4 linked regions of the Macaca fascicularis genome follow. Each later gene encodes a partner of the first gene's protein in a complex. Links are inferred from orthologs where the notes say so. Each region holds a gene or a part of one and is shown in the gene's direction. Other genes may lie near its edges.

Evidence for each region.
Region 2: the proteins of GNAQ (region 1) and F2RL1 are in contact, whole or in part, in a cryo-EM structure (PDB 9D0A), measured with the Homo sapiens proteins. The link is inferred for Macaca fascicularis from reciprocal best matches to the Homo sapiens genes GNAQ and F2RL1. Residues at the interface, in NP_002063.2 of Homo sapiens: Arg37, Ile323, Tyr325, Asp346, Ile348, Leu349, Gln350, Asn352, Leu353, Glu355, Tyr356, Asn357, Leu358, Val359; in NP_005233.4 of Homo sapiens: His108, Pro109, Ala110, Met114, Gln172, Arg173, Val176, Ile177, Pro180, Met181, Gly182, His183, Ser184, Arg185, Met265, Met268, Leu269, Met274, Asp275, Asn277, Lys280, Lys281, Arg284, Ala285, Leu288, Ile289, Tyr344, Tyr345, Val347, Ser348.
Region 3: the proteins of GNAQ (region 1) and PLCB3 are in contact, whole or in part, in a cryo-EM structure (PDB 8UQO), measured with the Homo sapiens proteins. The link is inferred for Macaca fascicularis from reciprocal best matches to the Homo sapiens genes GNAQ and PLCB3. Residues at the interface, in NP_002063.2 of Homo sapiens: Pro185, Thr186, Thr187, Ile189, Glu191, Pro193, Arg202, Gln209, Arg210, Ser211, Glu212, Arg213, Arg214, Lys215, Trp216, Ile217, His218, Val240, Glu241, Glu245, Glu249, Glu250, Ala253, Leu254, Arg256, Thr257, Ile258, Thr260, Tyr261; in NP_000923.1 of Homo sapiens: Pro257, Arg258, Leu259, Asn260, Glu261, Val262, Leu263, Arg707, Asp709, Lys710, Ile719, Asp721, Gly722, Ile723, Val724, Ala725, Ser845, Asp846, Tyr847, Ile848, Pro849, His852, Tyr855, Ala856, Ala858, Leu859, Ile860, Asn861, Pro862, Ile863.
Region 4: the proteins of GNAQ (region 1) and CASR are in contact, whole or in part, in a cryo-EM structure (PDB 8SZG), measured with the Homo sapiens proteins. The link is inferred for Macaca fascicularis from reciprocal best matches to the Homo sapiens genes GNAQ and CASR. Residues at the interface, in NP_002063.2 of Homo sapiens: His63, Leu196, Gln197, Ser198, Ile323, Tyr325, Ile337, Arg338, Phe339, Phe341, Ala342, Lys345, Asp346, Ile348, Leu349, Gln350, Leu351, Asn352, Leu353, Glu355, Tyr356, Leu358, Val359; in NP_000379.3 of Homo sapiens: Lys644, Ala645, Asn647, Arg701, Val702, Leu704, Val705, Phe706, Ala708, Lys709, Ile710, Pro711, Thr712, Phe714, Phe801, Arg873, Thr876, Ala877, His879, Ala880, Phe881, Val883, Ala884, Arg886, Ala887, Thr888, Leu889.

Annotation. Positions count from the first base shown.
Region 1 is NC_088389.1:108,568,067-108,571,625, reverse strand, and holds part of GNAQ (guanine nucleotide-binding protein G(q) subunit alpha), read left to right. Parts: intron 1-2,601; coding exon 2,602-2,786; intron 2,787-3,559.
Region 2 is NC_088380.1:80,791,320-80,795,678, forward strand, and holds the start of F2RL1 (proteinase-activated receptor 2), read left to right. Parts: upstream 1-1,557; 5' UTR 1,558-1,707; coding exon 1,708-1,789; exon of another isoform or gene 1,790-2,728; intron 2,729-4,359. UniProt on the Homo sapiens protein: Receptor for trypsin and trypsin-like enzymes coupled to G proteins.
Region 3 is NC_088388.1:10,129,054-10,132,612, reverse strand, and holds part of PLCB3 (1-phosphatidylinositol 4,5-bisphosphate phosphodiesterase beta-3), read left to right. Parts: intron 1-303; coding exon 304-457; intron 458-545; coding exon 546-581; intron 582-664; coding exon 665-857; intron 858-1,241; coding exon 1,242-1,395; intron 1,396-1,481; coding exon 1,482-1,558; intron 1,559-1,669; coding exon 1,670-1,759; intron 1,760-1,849; coding exon 1,850-1,907; intron 1,908-2,546; coding exon 2,547-2,633; intron 2,634-2,714; coding exon 2,715-2,918; 3' UTR 2,919-2,934; exon of another isoform or gene 2,935-3,272; intron 3,273-3,559. UniProt on the Homo sapiens protein: Catalyzes the production of the second messenger molecules diacylglycerol (DAG) and inositol 1,4,5-trisphosphate (IP3).
Region 4 is NC_088376.1:161,062,837-161,066,917, reverse strand, and holds the start of CASR (extracellular calcium-sensing receptor), read left to right. Parts: upstream 1-1,223; 5' UTR 1,224-1,707; intron 1,708-1,864; exon of another isoform or gene 1,865-2,073; intron 2,074-4,081. UniProt on the Homo sapiens protein: G-protein-coupled receptor that senses changes in the extracellular concentration of calcium ions and plays a key role in maintaining calcium homeostasis.

The DNA of each region.
Region 1 (3,559 bases):
CTGGTTTCCTGTTGGCTAAACCCAAGCAGAAGGCAGAGTATAACAAAGCTGTTGAAATCCCTATTGGTCAGCCTCCTGGGGGTACCCAGCAAGATGAGATGGTGGAGAAAGGATCCCTGGGCGTGTTTCTGGCAACAGGAAAATATCTTAGGGTTGATTGTTTGATTGTTTTTTCTTTTCTTTTAATTTCTCCTAATTCACTTATCAGTCACATGTTTGGCCCCTACTTGGAGTCTACATTAGTGTGATATCCAGTGTGTGGACAGTGCCCAGGGACTTGGTGACTAGATCCAAAGAAGTGCCAAATGTTGACTGCTCTTGCCCAAAGTGATTTCAATTAACCACATACCAGTGTGCTTATACTTCATGTGATACTTTCTCTTTTTTTGTGGGGGTAGGGTAGTTACAAGTATATGCAGGTGACCAGGAGAAAAAAGGTCCTGTTGCCTGATATTAACCTCACAAATCAGGATTTCTTCTGTTTTTATTGTGAATTAATGGTTGTTTACACTTAGGCCCTCAGAGCAAGCCTTTGGCTGTGGGATCGTGATAATAAAGAAGCAATCTATGGGAGAGTAAATATACTAGTTTCTGCAAATCATTGGTTGATAATGAGAAACAATTTTAGTAGCTTCATTTCTATTAGAGAAATGGTAGGTTTCAGCCACTTTATGCTTTTGTCCACTATTCATGTTGGAATTATAAAATACTCATTTTAAACTTTCTGAATTAATCCTGTTAAATTGGGGTGATAGCATTCACATTACAGCTGTTAATTTATATTTCTACGAGTTCCAGATCACTTTACTAAAAGTAATAGGGAAATTATTATAAAGGAATCAGCCACTGCAGGACTCTATGGCTAGAAATACCTTTCATTGTAACTGTGTGAGGGCTATGTATTTACCAAGACATCTGCAGTCATTTAAGAGGCTTCTATGAAAACTGTAATACTTAATTGAAATTTTGTGATTGTTTATAAAGATAGTAATGAAATCCAACCATCAGAAAAACAAAATGAATTTAGGACAGATGGCATATTACTAGCTTTTATTTTTTTTCTCCCTCCTTCCTTCCTTCTCTCTCTTCCTCCTTTCCTTCCTTTCTCTCTCTCTTCCTTTCCTTCCCTTTCTTTCTTTGTTTTTCTCAGCTTTGTAGTGAGGAAATGGCATTAAGGACCCTGGTGATAATGGCCATTGTGTGTTTCATTCTGTTATTCCGTCTTTAATATCCAAATTGGCACTTTTATTTTCTTCATATTTTTGGGGTAAGATAAAGACAGTTACTGTTTTGGAGATCTCAAGGAAATTTGAGAGGGAGTGAGAAACAGGCCCTGAGAAAGGACACATGAAAATGACCACTTACATTTAGAAAAATGAAGTTTTTCGATTTGGATTCATTGTAGAAGAAATATGCTGTCATTTTGTGAAGTGATCCCATTTTTCTGTCTTGTCTTCTTCCCAGCGACATGCATAGCTCTGTTAGGGATTACCTTCAGGCTTATGGTAACAGAAAAGTAATATTGAAGATGTGAAAAAGGAGATAGCACAGAAGGAAAAAAAGCTAATCACAATAAAAAGAAGGAAAAAAAGCTAATCACAATACATTTCTATATAATGTTACTAGTCAAGAATGGGGAGAGAGAAGAAGAACCACCGTTGCTTTCCTGAATTAGGTGATTCCTTGGAATAACTCAGTCAACCAGCCCCCTACCAGAAATAAATTCAGGGGATATGTGGTATCTAGAAAAATGATTCTTCTTCTTGCCTTACCAGGATACTGTGTTCTTATGCCTCATTTTAATATTGGAGAAAATGGGCTGGGTGTTGAGAGGCAAGGCTGGTGCACCCCTTGAGGCTAGGAGTTCACAGCCAGCCCAGTCAACCTAGTGAGAACCTGTCTCTACAGAAATTTAAAAAAAAAAAAAAAAATTAGCTGGGCATGGTAGTGCATGCTTGTAGTTCCAGCTACTTGGGAGGCTGAGGTGGGAGGATCAAGAGACTGAGATGCGATTTCTTTATCTTAGGAGTTCAAGGCTGCAGTAAGCTATGATCACACCACTGCGTTCCAGCCTGCGTTACAGAGCAAGACCCTGTGTCTAAAAAAAATAAAATAGAGAACGTGTCTAGAAATTTTTAGGCCTTTTTTTTCTTATCTCTGTCTGAATACCTTTTGTGTAAGTGCACTGTCATTTCCAGATTCAAATCCTGGCTAATCAACCCAGTGTCCTGGAAGCGTTTCAGATATTCTCCAGGGAACAGAGCTTTATCAGGTTTTACCATGTTCAAAAGATGCTGTTGTCATTGTTTCTTGCAAGATACATGGTTACAAATGACTATCAAAATTCAGTGCTGAGTGGTTTCCAAAGAGGTGACAGGTTTGGGTTTTTTGTTGTTGTTGTTGGAGGTCATCTGCCTTTGAAATATACTCTCTCCCTCTAATTTTGCTGAATGTTCACCATAGGTAGCGTTTCCAATTCTAGAATTGCTCCTCTCAGCAGGCCATCTGGGGATGCTAAACCAAGGCATGGTATTTGGTTTAGTTATCTGAGAGACTGAGATGGCGCTGTGGTCTGATGAGCTGCTATTGTTCCTCTTTCAGGGACAGGAGAGAGTGGCAAGAGTACGTTTATCAAGCAGATGAGAATCATCCATGGGTCAGGATACTCTGATGAAGATAAAAGGGGCTTCACCAAGCTGGTGTATCAGAACATCTTCACGGCCATGCAGGCCATGATCAGAGCCATGGACACACTCAAGATCCCGTACAAGTATGAGCACAATAAGGTAGGTGCGACTCTTCATCGGAGCAGTCGGCTGAATGGTCCAGGTGTTCACAATAGTGTGACAACACGAGTAGTGTCTTCACATGTCTGGAGTGCATAGGGGGATTTGGAAATATACATTTTCCATCCCATCATAAATGAGACTTTTAATAGATAATAAGTTTTTGATAAATGTCTTTTTCCTAAACCTCTAGAGTTACACCTATAAAAAACAGATTTTTATTTTTAGTGATGTCAATGAAAGGCATATTTGGATGTTCAGCAATAAATATTTTCAGGTTTAAAATTTGGGGAAGCACATTATGTTAAGGAGACAGTTTGTTAAGTATCATAAATTGGCCAAAGTCAGGGATTTCAAAGAGGTGGTGGTGGCCTTGCTTTTTAACAAATTGAAAAAAGAATGAAAACAACTTAAAACCATTCAGTCTGGTTTAACTTTGAATTTTGTGATTTTCTTTCAGTAGTACCACAGGCTTCATTTGATTTCAAAATAGGCCCATCGATCACTTCCAATAACCTTTCCAACACATTTCCCTGCCATTGTGTTAAAGTAACAGAAACTTCTAAAACCACTTGAAAAAGGATTGGGGGAAAAACCCCTCAAAGTTTAGCTTTTTAGAAAATAAGCACACTTCCAGTATCCTCTAGCATTATTTCTTGGTTGAAGTAAAATACCATCCCCCTTCTCCCCAACATGAAAATAAATGCTATAATTGCCCATCCTCTAAATATTAAAGAGATGTAATACCAAACAAGATTGGTATATCTGAGGGT
Region 2 (4,359 bases), on another chromosome or scaffold:
AAGCCTGTCCGGGTGTGATGGCTCATTCCTGTAATCCCAGCACTTTGGGAGGCTCAGTGGGGAGGATCACATGAAGCCAGGAGTTCCAGACCAGACTGGACAAGATAGGGAGACCCCATTTCTATTTTCTAATATAAATTAACATAAAAAAGAGAGAAAATTTCTTTATACATTGAGCTGAAATTAAACCCCACTGTGGCTTCCACCTATTTTTGCTCTCTGGGGCTACTCAAAACACATCCAAATCCTCTTCTACAAGCGAATCCTTCAAATATTTGAAAACACCTATGTCTCCCTTCTGTGCTCTTCCGATACCAATGGTTTAAATTGGTAACAGTAGACTTTGTTTTAATAGATCTTCTAAAAAGCAAATAAAAAGTAAGGCATGCTGGGTGCGGTGGCTCATGCCTGTAATCTCAGCACTTTGGGAGGTGCAAGTGGGCGGATCACAAGATCAGGAGTTCGAGACTAGCCTGACCAACATGGTGAAACCCGTCTCTACTAAAAATACAAAAATTAGCCAGATGTGGTGGTGCACGCCTGTAACCCCAGCTGCTTGGGAGGCTAAAGAATTGCTTGAACTCAGGAGGCGGAGGTTGCAGTGAGCCGAGATGGCGCCACTGCACTCCAGCCTGGGAAACAGAACGAGATTCCGACTCGAAGAAAAAAAAAAAAAGTAAGACATTACCAATATGATGCAAACCCTCAAGCACTCATGCACTTATCCCCAACCCCACACTTCTCCTCTCCCACCCCTTCTATCTGCTCATGTATTTATTTAGCCTATGGGATCCCAATACAGAGGAGCCCTGATGGACGCATTTATAGTGCAGCAATGAATAGAAGACAGTGGCAGTCTTAGACTAGAGTTGAAATGTGATAAACATTTATATACTGTGTTTATAAACCGTGTAACTCTAACCAATTTATCTAGTCTTTCTAAGCTCAATTTCCTCGTCCGTAAAATGGGAAGAATAATCATACTTATCGCGCTGGTTGTTATAGGGATTAAACAAGATAATTCTCTAAAGCTTTGGCACTTGGCGCTGAAAGGAGCCATTCCATGTCTTCTTTCCCGCCCCGCCCCTTGTGCTCCCCACCGCTTTCGTGGTGTCCGCAGCTGCAGCTGCCTCTACAACAAAAAACGCATCCCTCCTCCTGCAGTGTCCACCGCACCGGGAAGCCCTCTCTGTATCAGTTACCAACCACAATTGCAGTGAGTTCGGATCGTGGCTTTCCCATAGTCAGGAAAAGTGAGGGAAACGGACGACCCGGTTCTCTAGGAGTAAGTAAAGGTTAAAGGTAGTTCGCGGCATAACCCAGGCCGGGATTAACCCGAGGTCCCAGCGCTCCTGCTATTTGCATTCCAAAGCGGACACCTCATGCGCTCAACCCCGCCCGCAGGCGGCTCCAGCAGTCTAGAAGACCTGGCGCGCGTCCGGGGACCCGGGGGAGCAGCCGCGCAAGGCAGGTGACCGGGGGCGGGGCCAGGGCCCTCGTTCCGGTCCCGGGGCGTGGCCTCCCGCAGGTGAGTCCAGCGGCGCCTGGGGTTTCCCTGAAACCTAACCCGCCCTGGGGAGGAGCGCAGAGGCTGCGATTAGGGACAGACGAGAGGCTGACTTTCTCTCGGTGCGTCCAGTGGAGCTCTGAGTTTCGAATCGGTGGCGGCGGATTCCCAGCGCGCCCGGCGTCGGGGCTTCGGGGAGGATGTGGCGCCCCAGCGCGGCGTGGCTGCTGGGGGCCGCCATCCTGCTGGCAGCCTCTGTCTCCTGCAATGGCATCATCCAAGGTGAGAAACGTGGCCAAGGAGGGCTCTTATCGCTGAGGAGCTGGGGTCCTGGGCACGCTGGGCAGACGGTGATCCGGGCAGGTGCGCGAAAGGGGTTCTGCTGCCGGCACCCATCTCCACGAATCCCTTAGCCTCTCCTTGGTGGCTTTGATGGGGGGTCTCTGCGCCAAGGAGGCACCCAGGTGGGACATGCGGGAGCAGCTGAAGTTGGCAGAGCCCGGCAGAGGCAGAGACTTCCCCAAAGACCCTACTTCCCGTAGAGGCTGTCATGCTGGGCACCCCCAGGCGCCAGCGTGGGTTCGGGGAAAGGGAGTGAAGGAAGGAGTAGCTGTGTCTAAAGGGTACCCAGAGGACCCAGTCCCCTCCCCGGGCTTGGTTGCTTTATAAACACTAAGTCGTTAAGAGCTTTTCGCTTAGTTTCCTCTCGCTCCCGCGGGGCCGGTGGAGTTAGCGAGCTGATTGCGCAGGGCAGGGCGGAGTGGGTGGGAACCGGCGGAGTGGGTGGGAACCCGCGGCCCGGGAGCCTTCTAAATTGTTTTTTGCGCCCCCCTCCCCCAACTACTGGAAGCCTTTCTTCGGGTTCTGCCCCTGGCGTTCGAGATCCACCCGGGGCCCGCGGCTCCTGGCACCCACGGTGGAAGGCCCGGGGTATGAAATTCAGGGCTGGACTCTGCTGGGTTCTGGTGGTAATGAGCGCTCAGGCCCGTTGGGCGTCACGAGGATTTACGAGCGGAACTTTTTGGACGCTGCCTTATATTTGACCAGTTGACTCTCTGGGCCTTGGGTTCCGGGACTTGCCTAGTGTGCCACCCGGAGCGACCACTGGCTGCCACCCAGGTCTGCAGGCCGGAGGCTGGCCGCCCTGGGAACAGAGCAGCACTTGCGCCCGGCCGCCGCGTTCCTTGGGTGTGCTGCTCCGGGTTTGCTCGAACTTGTACTGCTCGGAATGTGTTCTTCCGGGCCCAGCAGGCCTCGCTGTAGCTGTGGGGGATGTTTGACTTGCGGTCGCGCCACTGTGATCCTAACCGAGGCCCCGCTGTTTGGGGCAGCCTGGGTAGCAAAGGGAGGTTTTAATTTCCCTCAGATGTTCAGACTTGCTGTAAAAGGCATTTCTCACTTTTATCCACCTCTTCATAAAGAGGAGGTAAAAGAGCAAGTCGCAGTGGGTTGGAATTAGATGGAAGAATGTGATTCTTTTCCCTCTTCACTTAGGGAAAAGGGTGTTGTGTAAGCTTGAAAACTGTGCACTGCTGATATATTTTTTATTAATCAGCATCAGAATAAAGGCATTTAGTTCCAGGAAGTATTGAAAACTGTAATAAACACCTCTCCTCTATGTCCTTTAAAGTTGGGAACTTAAAATTCAGGAGCAAAGGTTAGTATGTGCAAACTTTAAAAAAATACGTGTTGGTATAAATGATTCAACATCTTTATGATTCAGAGGTCCCCCTAGGAAGCATGCCCCGATTATTTGGCTTGTTCTTGTTTACCCCTCTTGATAGGGGATTGGGAGATCCCTGGAGTATAAGGCGAACTTGATTTGACAACAAGGAAAAATCAGGTTACTTGTTAACTAGAGCCACTTAATATTGCACCTTGTTCCTCATCCTCCCCCCACCATACTTTTATTCCCTTGCAGGGTAACTTTCCCAAAGGGTTCGCGAAGTAACACTGAGAATTGATTTAGGCAGATGGAGCTTTCCTCCCACCTTAAAACTAAACTGATTTTAGTAAATACCGTGTCAGCAAAGCTTTTCTGCCCTCAGGGTAGATCTTTGCTCACTGCCTTTTAACCAGTCCTTCTGCATGCCCCTCAGGTGGCTGCAAGGCCGATTTGGGGTTTGATTTTCTTCCCAAAGCCTCACTCCGAAAGACTGCCTCATAGAAAGGAACTCAGCCTAGATCACAGCCTTCTCAGGGTACAGGTGAGGGACACTGAATAGGGGAGGAGGCAAGGCAAGGAAAACACTTGGAAGTCGCGGCCCCTCTTTCCCCTCACAATAGTAATTGGTAATTATTTGGGTAAATATGTTTAATACATGTCCTCACTGCATCGTTAACTCCTGGAGGCAGGGGACCCTACCATCCTTTCCATCATGTCTAGCATAGTCTCATCACCTATGGGACCTCAGTAAATAGCAGATGAATGAAGTGAGGAGTCTTGCCCAGAGTACCCTGGCTGGTCCATGTGGTGTTCATTTCAGTCAGCTTCTCTCTGCCACTTACTTATTTTTTCCCACCATTTTACAGGCCTAGGTCATTCCATTTATCTTTTTGAGACTGGAACTTCTGTTTTCTTTATAATTGGTTTGGTGTTTTTTTTGTTGTTGTTGTTTTGTTTTTTGAGTCTCATTCTGTTGCCCAGGCTGGAGTGCAGTGGTGCGATTTTGGCTCATTGCAACCTCCATCTCTCCCTGGCTCAAGGAAATCTCCTGCCTCAGCCTCCCAAGTAGCTGGGACTACAGGCATGCACTGCCACCCCCAGGTAATTTTTTTTTTAGAGGGAGTCTCTCTCTGTCACCCAGGCTGGAGTGCAGTGGCATGATTTCAGCTCACTGCAACCTCCGCCT
Region 3 (3,559 bases), on another chromosome or scaffold:
GCAGGGGAGGAGAGGAGGCTTGGGCCTGGGCCAGGCCTTTCCAGAACAATCTGGGTGTTCCTGAGCGCATGCAGTGGGCTGGCATTATGTTATCTTCCCCACAGCCCATGTGGAAAAGGGGTTTAGAAAGGCTTGATTTATAGCTCTTTTCATGCAGACAGCCTCCTGTTACAGAGCAGCCCAGCAGTGGCTTGGACTAAGGGAAGCTGCCAGGGGTGCTAGGGGCCCCGGGAGGTGGTAGAGGACAGAAGGGTCTGGAGGGAACAGCATTTCTGGAAAGAGCATTCTCCTTTCTCCCTATAGGCTCAGGCTGGCCAAGAGATGTGCCAGGACACCCAGTCTCAGCAGCTGGGGTCTCAGCTGTCCCCAAACCCCACCCCTAGCCCACTGGATGCCTCCCCCCGCCGGCCCCCCGGCCCCACCGCCTCCCCTGCCAGCACCTCCCTCAGCAGCCCAGGTAAGGAGCAGCTCGGGTCAGGGGTGGGCTGCAGGGAGGTGCCCCACCACCCTGTCCTTCAGCTCCTCACAGGGCCTCTGCTCCCTAGGGCAGCGCGACGATCTCATCGCCAGCATCCTCTCAGGTAGGGGGCGGGGTACCTGGAGGCCGGGGGGCTGCCTTGCAGTTTCCCCCACCCCCCGCCTACCTTTCCTCTGCCACTCCCAGAGGTGGCCCCCACCCCGCTGGATGAGCTCCGAGGTCACAAGGCTCTGGTCAAGCTCCAGAGCCGGCAAGAGCGAGACCTGCGGGAGCTGCGCAAGAAGCATCAGCGGAAGGCAGTCACCCTCACCCGCCGCCTGCTGGATGGCCTGGCTCAGGCACAGGCTGAGGGCAGGTGCCGGCTGCGGCCAGGTGCCCTGTGAGTGTCTGGGCCGCCTGTGTGCTATGTGTGCTGGGTGCACTGAAGTGAACATGGGGGTCGGTGGGCATGGAGAGATGGCAAGAGCCGCTCCTTGACCCCCAGGGAGGAGGGTTCGGGTGCAAGGATGGAGGAGGCTTTCTACACCAGGCACCTCCGTGTCCCCCAGGGAGTGACATCTCTTTTGAAGTCCATGAGGAGTGTGTTGCCCAAACAGGCTCCCATCACTTGTGTGGAGCTAACAGGCCTCCTGGTTTGCATAACAGACCTGGCCCCATGGGGTGGTGTCTGCCATCGCTTGCCGGGGTGTGCCCCCCCACACACCCTCCCCATCCCAGTTCATGTGACGGACCCAAGCATCACCCAGAGGGGTTCTCCTCGCAGAGGCGGGGCCGCTGATGTGGAGGACACGAAGGAGGGGGAGGACGAGGCAAAGCGGTATCAGGAGTTCCAGAACAGACAGGTGCAGAGCCTGCTGGAGCTGCGGGAGGCCCAGGTGGACGCAGAGGCCCAGCGGAGGCTGGAGCATCTGAGACAGGTAGGAGGCCTGCAGTGGCCAGGGAAAGCCTCCTGGATAGACTGGTCATCGACCCGGCATCACCTGTCGGCTCCCTGTGTCCATAGGCTCTGCAGCGGCTCAGGGAGGTCGTCCTTGATGCAAACACAACTCAGTTCAAGAGGCTGAAAGAGATGAACGAGAGGTGAAGGCCTAGGATTGTCTATGGGAAGGGCTGGGGACTTCTAATACAGAAGGAAGGCAGAGTCTGTGCTTCTGCCGCTGACCCCTCCTTTTTCCCTGCTGGCTTCTCAAGGGAAAAGAAGGAACTGCAGAAGATCCTGGACAGAAAGCGCCATAACAGCATCTCGGAGGCCAAGACGAGGGACAAGCATAAGAAGGAGGCGTAAGGGCACCAGGGCCGGGGGCCACCTGGGTACTGGGGAGGCAGGGCGGGTGTCTGGGCCCCGAGCCATCCTGCATTGCTCCTGTGCAGGGAACTGACGGAGATTAACCGTCGGCACATCACTGAGTCAGTCAACTCCATCCGTCGGGTGAGTTGGGCTCCTGGGCCACCCTACCCCACGTCCCTTCCTTCACTCATCAGACACCCTTCTCCGTGCCTGGCCTGGTGCCACGTTGCCCTCAAAGTTCTTCTAGAGCCTTTCTCGAGTGCCCAACAGCTCCAGGGTACCCGCTTCATACCCAAAGCCAACTGTCTGCACCAGTGCCCCTGGCTTTGGTGTCCTTGGGCCCAGTCCTTTCACAAACCTGATACATCACCCTGGGAGCCTTCACCCACCTGACTTCCTTTATTTTTCTTTGAGACAGAGTCTCACTTTGTCACCCAGGCCGGAGTGCAGTGGTGCGATCTTGGCTCACTGCAACCTCTGCCTCTTGGGTTCAAGCAATTCTCTTGCCTCAGCCTCCCAAGTAGCTGGGATTACAGGCGTCCGCCACTACGCCTGGCTAATTTTTGTATTTTTAGTAGAGATGGGGTTTCACCATGTTGGCCAGGCTGGTCTGGAACTCCTGACCTCAGGTGATCTGCCCACCTCGGCCTCCCAAAGTGCTGGGATTACAGGTGTGAGCCACTGCGCCTGGCCTTGCCCACCTGACTTCTATACCCAGCCAGAGCCTCGAGGCCCTAGCCCCTCAGGGCCCCTCAGCTGAGCCCTTGCCCACCCCTGTAGCTGGAGGAGGCCCAGAAGCAGCGGCATGACCGTCTTGTGGCTGGGCAGCAGCAGGTCCTGCAACAGCTGGCAGAAGAGGAGCCCAAGGTGAGGCCATGGGCGAACAGGCGGGCAGATGGGGTGCAAGGCAGCCAGGCCTCGCCTGTGATGCCCGTCCTCCTCCCACAGCTGCTGGCCCAGCTGGCCCAGGAGTGTCAGGAGCAGCGGGCGAGGCTCCCCCAGGAGATCCGCAGGAGCCTGCTGGGCGAGATGCCGGAGGGGCTGGGGGATGGGCTTCTGGTGGCCTGTGCCAGCAACGGTCACGCACCTGGGAGCAGCGGGCACCTGTCGGGCGCTGACTCGGAGAGCCAGGAGGAGAACACGCAGCTCTGAACTGGCTGAGCAAGAGGTGGCCACAGGGCCAGGGTGGGCGCTGGGTGGAGGGCAGGAGGCAACGACACTAATGCTTTTTTTTTTTTAACTTTTTATCTAGAAATTTTATTTTTTTAAACCTGGGGCAAGTACCTGAGCTAACTCCCTTCATCCTCCTGGGGCCCCTCCTTCCTGCCCTCAGTCTTAGGTTAGGGCCCTGGTCAGGGCTTTGCTCCCCGTGACACCCACACCCTCGAGGTAGCAGTGTCTCCTCCCTTCCCTGGGAGAGCTGCTGGAGCTTCAGGAAGTAGGTGTCACATTTTTTCTCTATTCTTTGAGGATTTTTTTTACATGAATAAAAGTGGATTTCAGGGACCCTGTGTGCAGTGTGATTTGGGGTGAGAGGACTCTGTACGTTTCCTCATCTGTAAAATGGGCTTTGGGTGTTTGGTGGGGTTGAGGGCACGCCTCCAGCCAAGGACTGCTGGGTTGAACCTGAGCCTGCCCTGCCGAGTCTGCTGAGCTTCCCTGTTCCTGTTCCTCCATCCCCACGACTTTCATCTCTCCGAAGCTCTCCCTGTTCTCTCTTCGCTGAGGCTCGGGCCTCTGCTTCAGGAAGCCTTCCCTGCCCCGCTTCCTGTGGCCTGATATGACCCAAACGC
Region 4 (4,081 bases), on another chromosome or scaffold:
CATAGTTTCTTCATCTTTACAATGGAAGCAATAATAGATCTTCAGAGTAATGCTTTCTTAAAGATAGTGCCCAGATTTGGACATTATGCCCAGGTGTAACCTGACCATTGAAGAGGATAAGTTCAGCCTAAGATTGCAGCCTCATTCAGGTTTTGAACTGAACTCATTCAGCCTTTGGGTGTTCACAAGGTTGTGCTTGTAGCCAACTAAAATAAAATCTAAGGTATTTTGATGTAGAGCACTACTGAGCCACATCCCCCATTACCAACTTGTATTGCTAGGTGTTTCGGCCTGAGGGAGGACTTCACGTTTATTCCTATTAACTAGATTTTCCTCCTTCCCTGGTTCTTTGGCATTTGCTCAGCTCCTTCTCCTACGCTGTATTTGAGGGAAAGGAAGCCAAATGGGTAGAATTGGGCCATAATGAGGATGTGTTTGACATGCTGGATTTGAGTCTGTGTTCCATTGAAGAAAAGAAATGGAAACTTTGTTGAGTATCCATTCTGTACTAGGCACTTTCCTTGACTATTTCATTGAACACTCCAAGGACCCCTTGAGGTAGATGTTATGGCCGATTTGCAGAGAAGAAATCTGCATTTTTATTTGAAGTTATTAAACATGGGTAAATGACCCAATTTTCTGCTTTTTGCTTAACAATAATTTGCAAACATTTTATCATGTTACTTCATGTTTCCCTTTTTTTCTTTATAAATAAATACATACTCCCTCCTTATTCTAAAAAGAATTTGAAGCACTTCTGTCTTGATGTTTATCATTTTAACGGTTGTATAATATCCCATTAAGTCACCCTAATTTACTCAACCAGTTTCCTACTGTTGACAGTTTGGCTCTGTTTACTTTTTGTGGTTTTCAAATTTTTTTTCTGTAGTAAATGATCCTCCTAAAAAACATCTCCGCATGAATGTTATTTTGTTCTGGAAATTTCCCCAAGCATGGAATACTGCATTAAAGGGGATATTTTTGGTGTTTCTTTATAGAGACTAGCAAATTGCCCACCCAAAGGAGTATGCTTTATTTGAGGGTAAAAAGCCAAACACACACACACACACACGCAAATGGTTTTCTACAAAAGAAATTAATTTTCCACTTATTCATAAAATATTCTAGTGCTGTGATGGGTGGCAGGCACCTTGCCAGGGGCTAGGGACAAGGATAAGCAAGGCCAGGTCGGGGCCTCCAAGCAGCGAGCTGTGGAGTCGGGTAGAACAGGCGCCTGGCTGCAGCCAGGGAGGATCGCGCGCCCTTTCGCGCAGGAGAGTGGAAGCAGGGAGCTGTTTGTCAGCACCGAGGTAACGCTTGACCTGAGTCTTGCACAATAAGTAAGAGTTTGGGCACGCGATTTGTATTTATTTTATTGTGAATCTCTGGCCTTATATCAGAAAAAAAAAAAAAAAATTGTGCCACCCTCGGCACAGAGAACGTTGGTGGCGTCGTAAGCCCTCTAAGTCTCTTTCCATCGCCAAGGAGTAGGGGTCCGGGAAGAGGACCTCCCCGACAGCAGGCAGCAGGAACAGGATTTGGGAGCCGGGAACCCCTGGCTCGGCACGGAAGAGGGCAGGAGAGGACCTGAGCGCGGGGCTCACCGTCTGCTGGGGACCCGAGCCGGCGTGTGGCCCTCGGGGAACGGAAGACGCGCCCTCAGCGACCCTGAAGAGTCAGCTAAGCTATCTGCGGGCTAAGGAGACGGTGAGGGAACGGGGACTAACTGGGGTGGGGGTTAGAGGGCAGCTCGCGAGTGGGCTCCAAGGGGAGCTGGGCTCAGCAGTCCGGGACCCCGAGGGGGCAAGCGGGCGGGGAGCACGAGAGGGGCGGAGCTCCGGGGCCAGGGCCGCCGCGGCTGCCCAGAGGGTCTGCGGGGGCTGCTGCGGCCGGTCCCGAAGGCGGGCGCAGGGAGTGCAGTGAGCCATGCGCACCTCTCCGAGACCGTGACCTTCGCATAGGGAGCAGGGTCCGCGCGCCGTCCTGAGATCAGACACAAGCCCAGCCTCGTGAAGACCCACGGCCGAGGGGCTGGAGCTGCCTCTGTGCGAGGGAGCCCTGGCCAAGGCGCTGGTAGGACCAGGGAACCCGAGGAGGGCGGGCGGAAAGCGCCCCCAGTGGGGGAGGGGCCGTGGCGGGGTCTGGGGGCCAAGGGCTCGGGGCCGAACGAGGGGCACACGCCGGAGCAGCTCCAGCCTGGGAGCATTGGGCGTGAACGTGGGGGAAAGTAGGGACCACATTATAGGATCAAGGCTTTCCCCGGCTCAGAACTGGACTGTTCAGTGTCCCCTAGAAGGGGCAGCGGGTCACCTACGCCAATGAACGGGAGTGCACACCAAAACGCCTGCTGTCGGTAGTTTCTTGTGCCTCTGCCTTGCTTCTGCCTGTGATGTAGTCAGAAAGGACTCGCTCTCCATGTGTTAACAAGGGGACAGGTAGCTTCACAGAGTGTATGAATATGGAGGGGAGGGCCACGGCGTCAGCTCTGGCCCCAGGGGCCGTCAGTGTCCCTGCAGAATTCCTGGTCCAAGCCGCCAGAATTCCTTGGGGACTTTGCTTCAGTGGCATCAAATTAGACTGTCAGTTCCCGGGGCCTGATCACCAGCCTCCGTATGTATTTCCTGGGGAGAAAAAGCATACCAGACTGATGGAGTCTTATCATTATTTTAACATTATAGCTTTCAATAGATAACATGCATATATTTATTTTTTAAGTCAAATAATACAAACATTTATCTTCTAGAGGCACTGCCTGCACTAGCATGTGTCTATTGCTATCTCCTTTCTATACTCATAGCCTTTCACACTCTACATGTTCTGTCGCCGTCTTTTGATTCTTTAGCCAGAAAATGATGTCACCACCACTGCCCACATCCTTTAATCTCCAGTGTTCCTTCTCGCAACGCCTATCTTGTCCTCAAATGTTTTTCACAAGGTGTTCCTCAGGGTAGGGAGCCCACTAACGAGAAGACATTTCATTTACTTGCTTCAACTATCCCAGAGATCTGAAGAAAAGGCACATTGGGGAACAGTCCATGACAAGTTCTAAACACACCTATCTTTCCCCTTAAACTGGATCTTCCAAGTGCAGTTTAGGTAGTCTGTTATTGAGAGGAAATAATGCAGGCTGTTTTCTGAAATGCTCTGGATTTCCAGAACTTAACACCACAGCAGTTCCTATTCCTTAAAACAGAACTTCATCAGTCACACCTTGCTGTTGCTTTTCCCGTCTCCACTCCAGGATCCCCTAACTGGTCTGCCTAGGATTTTTTCCTCTGTAGGAACCTGGGACACCGGGTGCTTTATACCTGCCTGGGAGGTGTTCCATGAAGGGCCTGAGGGACAAAGCTTTGTGGTGGACAAGGTGGGAGGGGAAGATGTAGGGGAAGTTGGAGGGGAAGTAGAAAGGAAGAAGCAGGCCAAGACCCTTGAGTGCAGAAGACTCCTCAAGCACAGAGCCCTGTCATTTAGGAACAGTCCCCATATAATTTGCTAAGAGACCACACATGCAGGTTACTTCCTGCCAACAATCAGTACAGTCAGCTCTGTTTCAAGACTTCTATGTTAGGCCAAAACATAGTAAGTGAAAACAATCAGCAAATCAACCAGTTTTTGTCTCTATGATAAAACAGAGTGGTTGAAACTAAATTAATTTAAAAAATTTTTTTACTGAATTAGCGGGTTCTTTAGGAGCTGTGTCCATTGTTTAAAATCACCTAATAGGTACTCCAGTCTCCACATTTTTCCTTTATTTTGTTTATCTTTTCATATTGCATAACCTTGAACTGGATCCCAACCATGTCAGAAAGTTCAGGCTGATTAGAAGCTGCCGCTTCTAAGACTTTTTGGTGGGAGAGAGTGGGGAGGAGAGGATGAGAAAATAATGACTGATCCTTGTGATAGGGTAGGTGTATAATGAAGAGGAAGAAGTTGACTACAAGTTTGAGACTGGTGAGGAGTCGCATATAATTCTTAAGGTAACAGGGGAATGAGTAAGAAGTAAACAAAATTGTTCATCATTCATCATTCAAAATGTTTATAGAGTGCCTGGCTATGTACCATTCACTGGGAACTAAAAGGT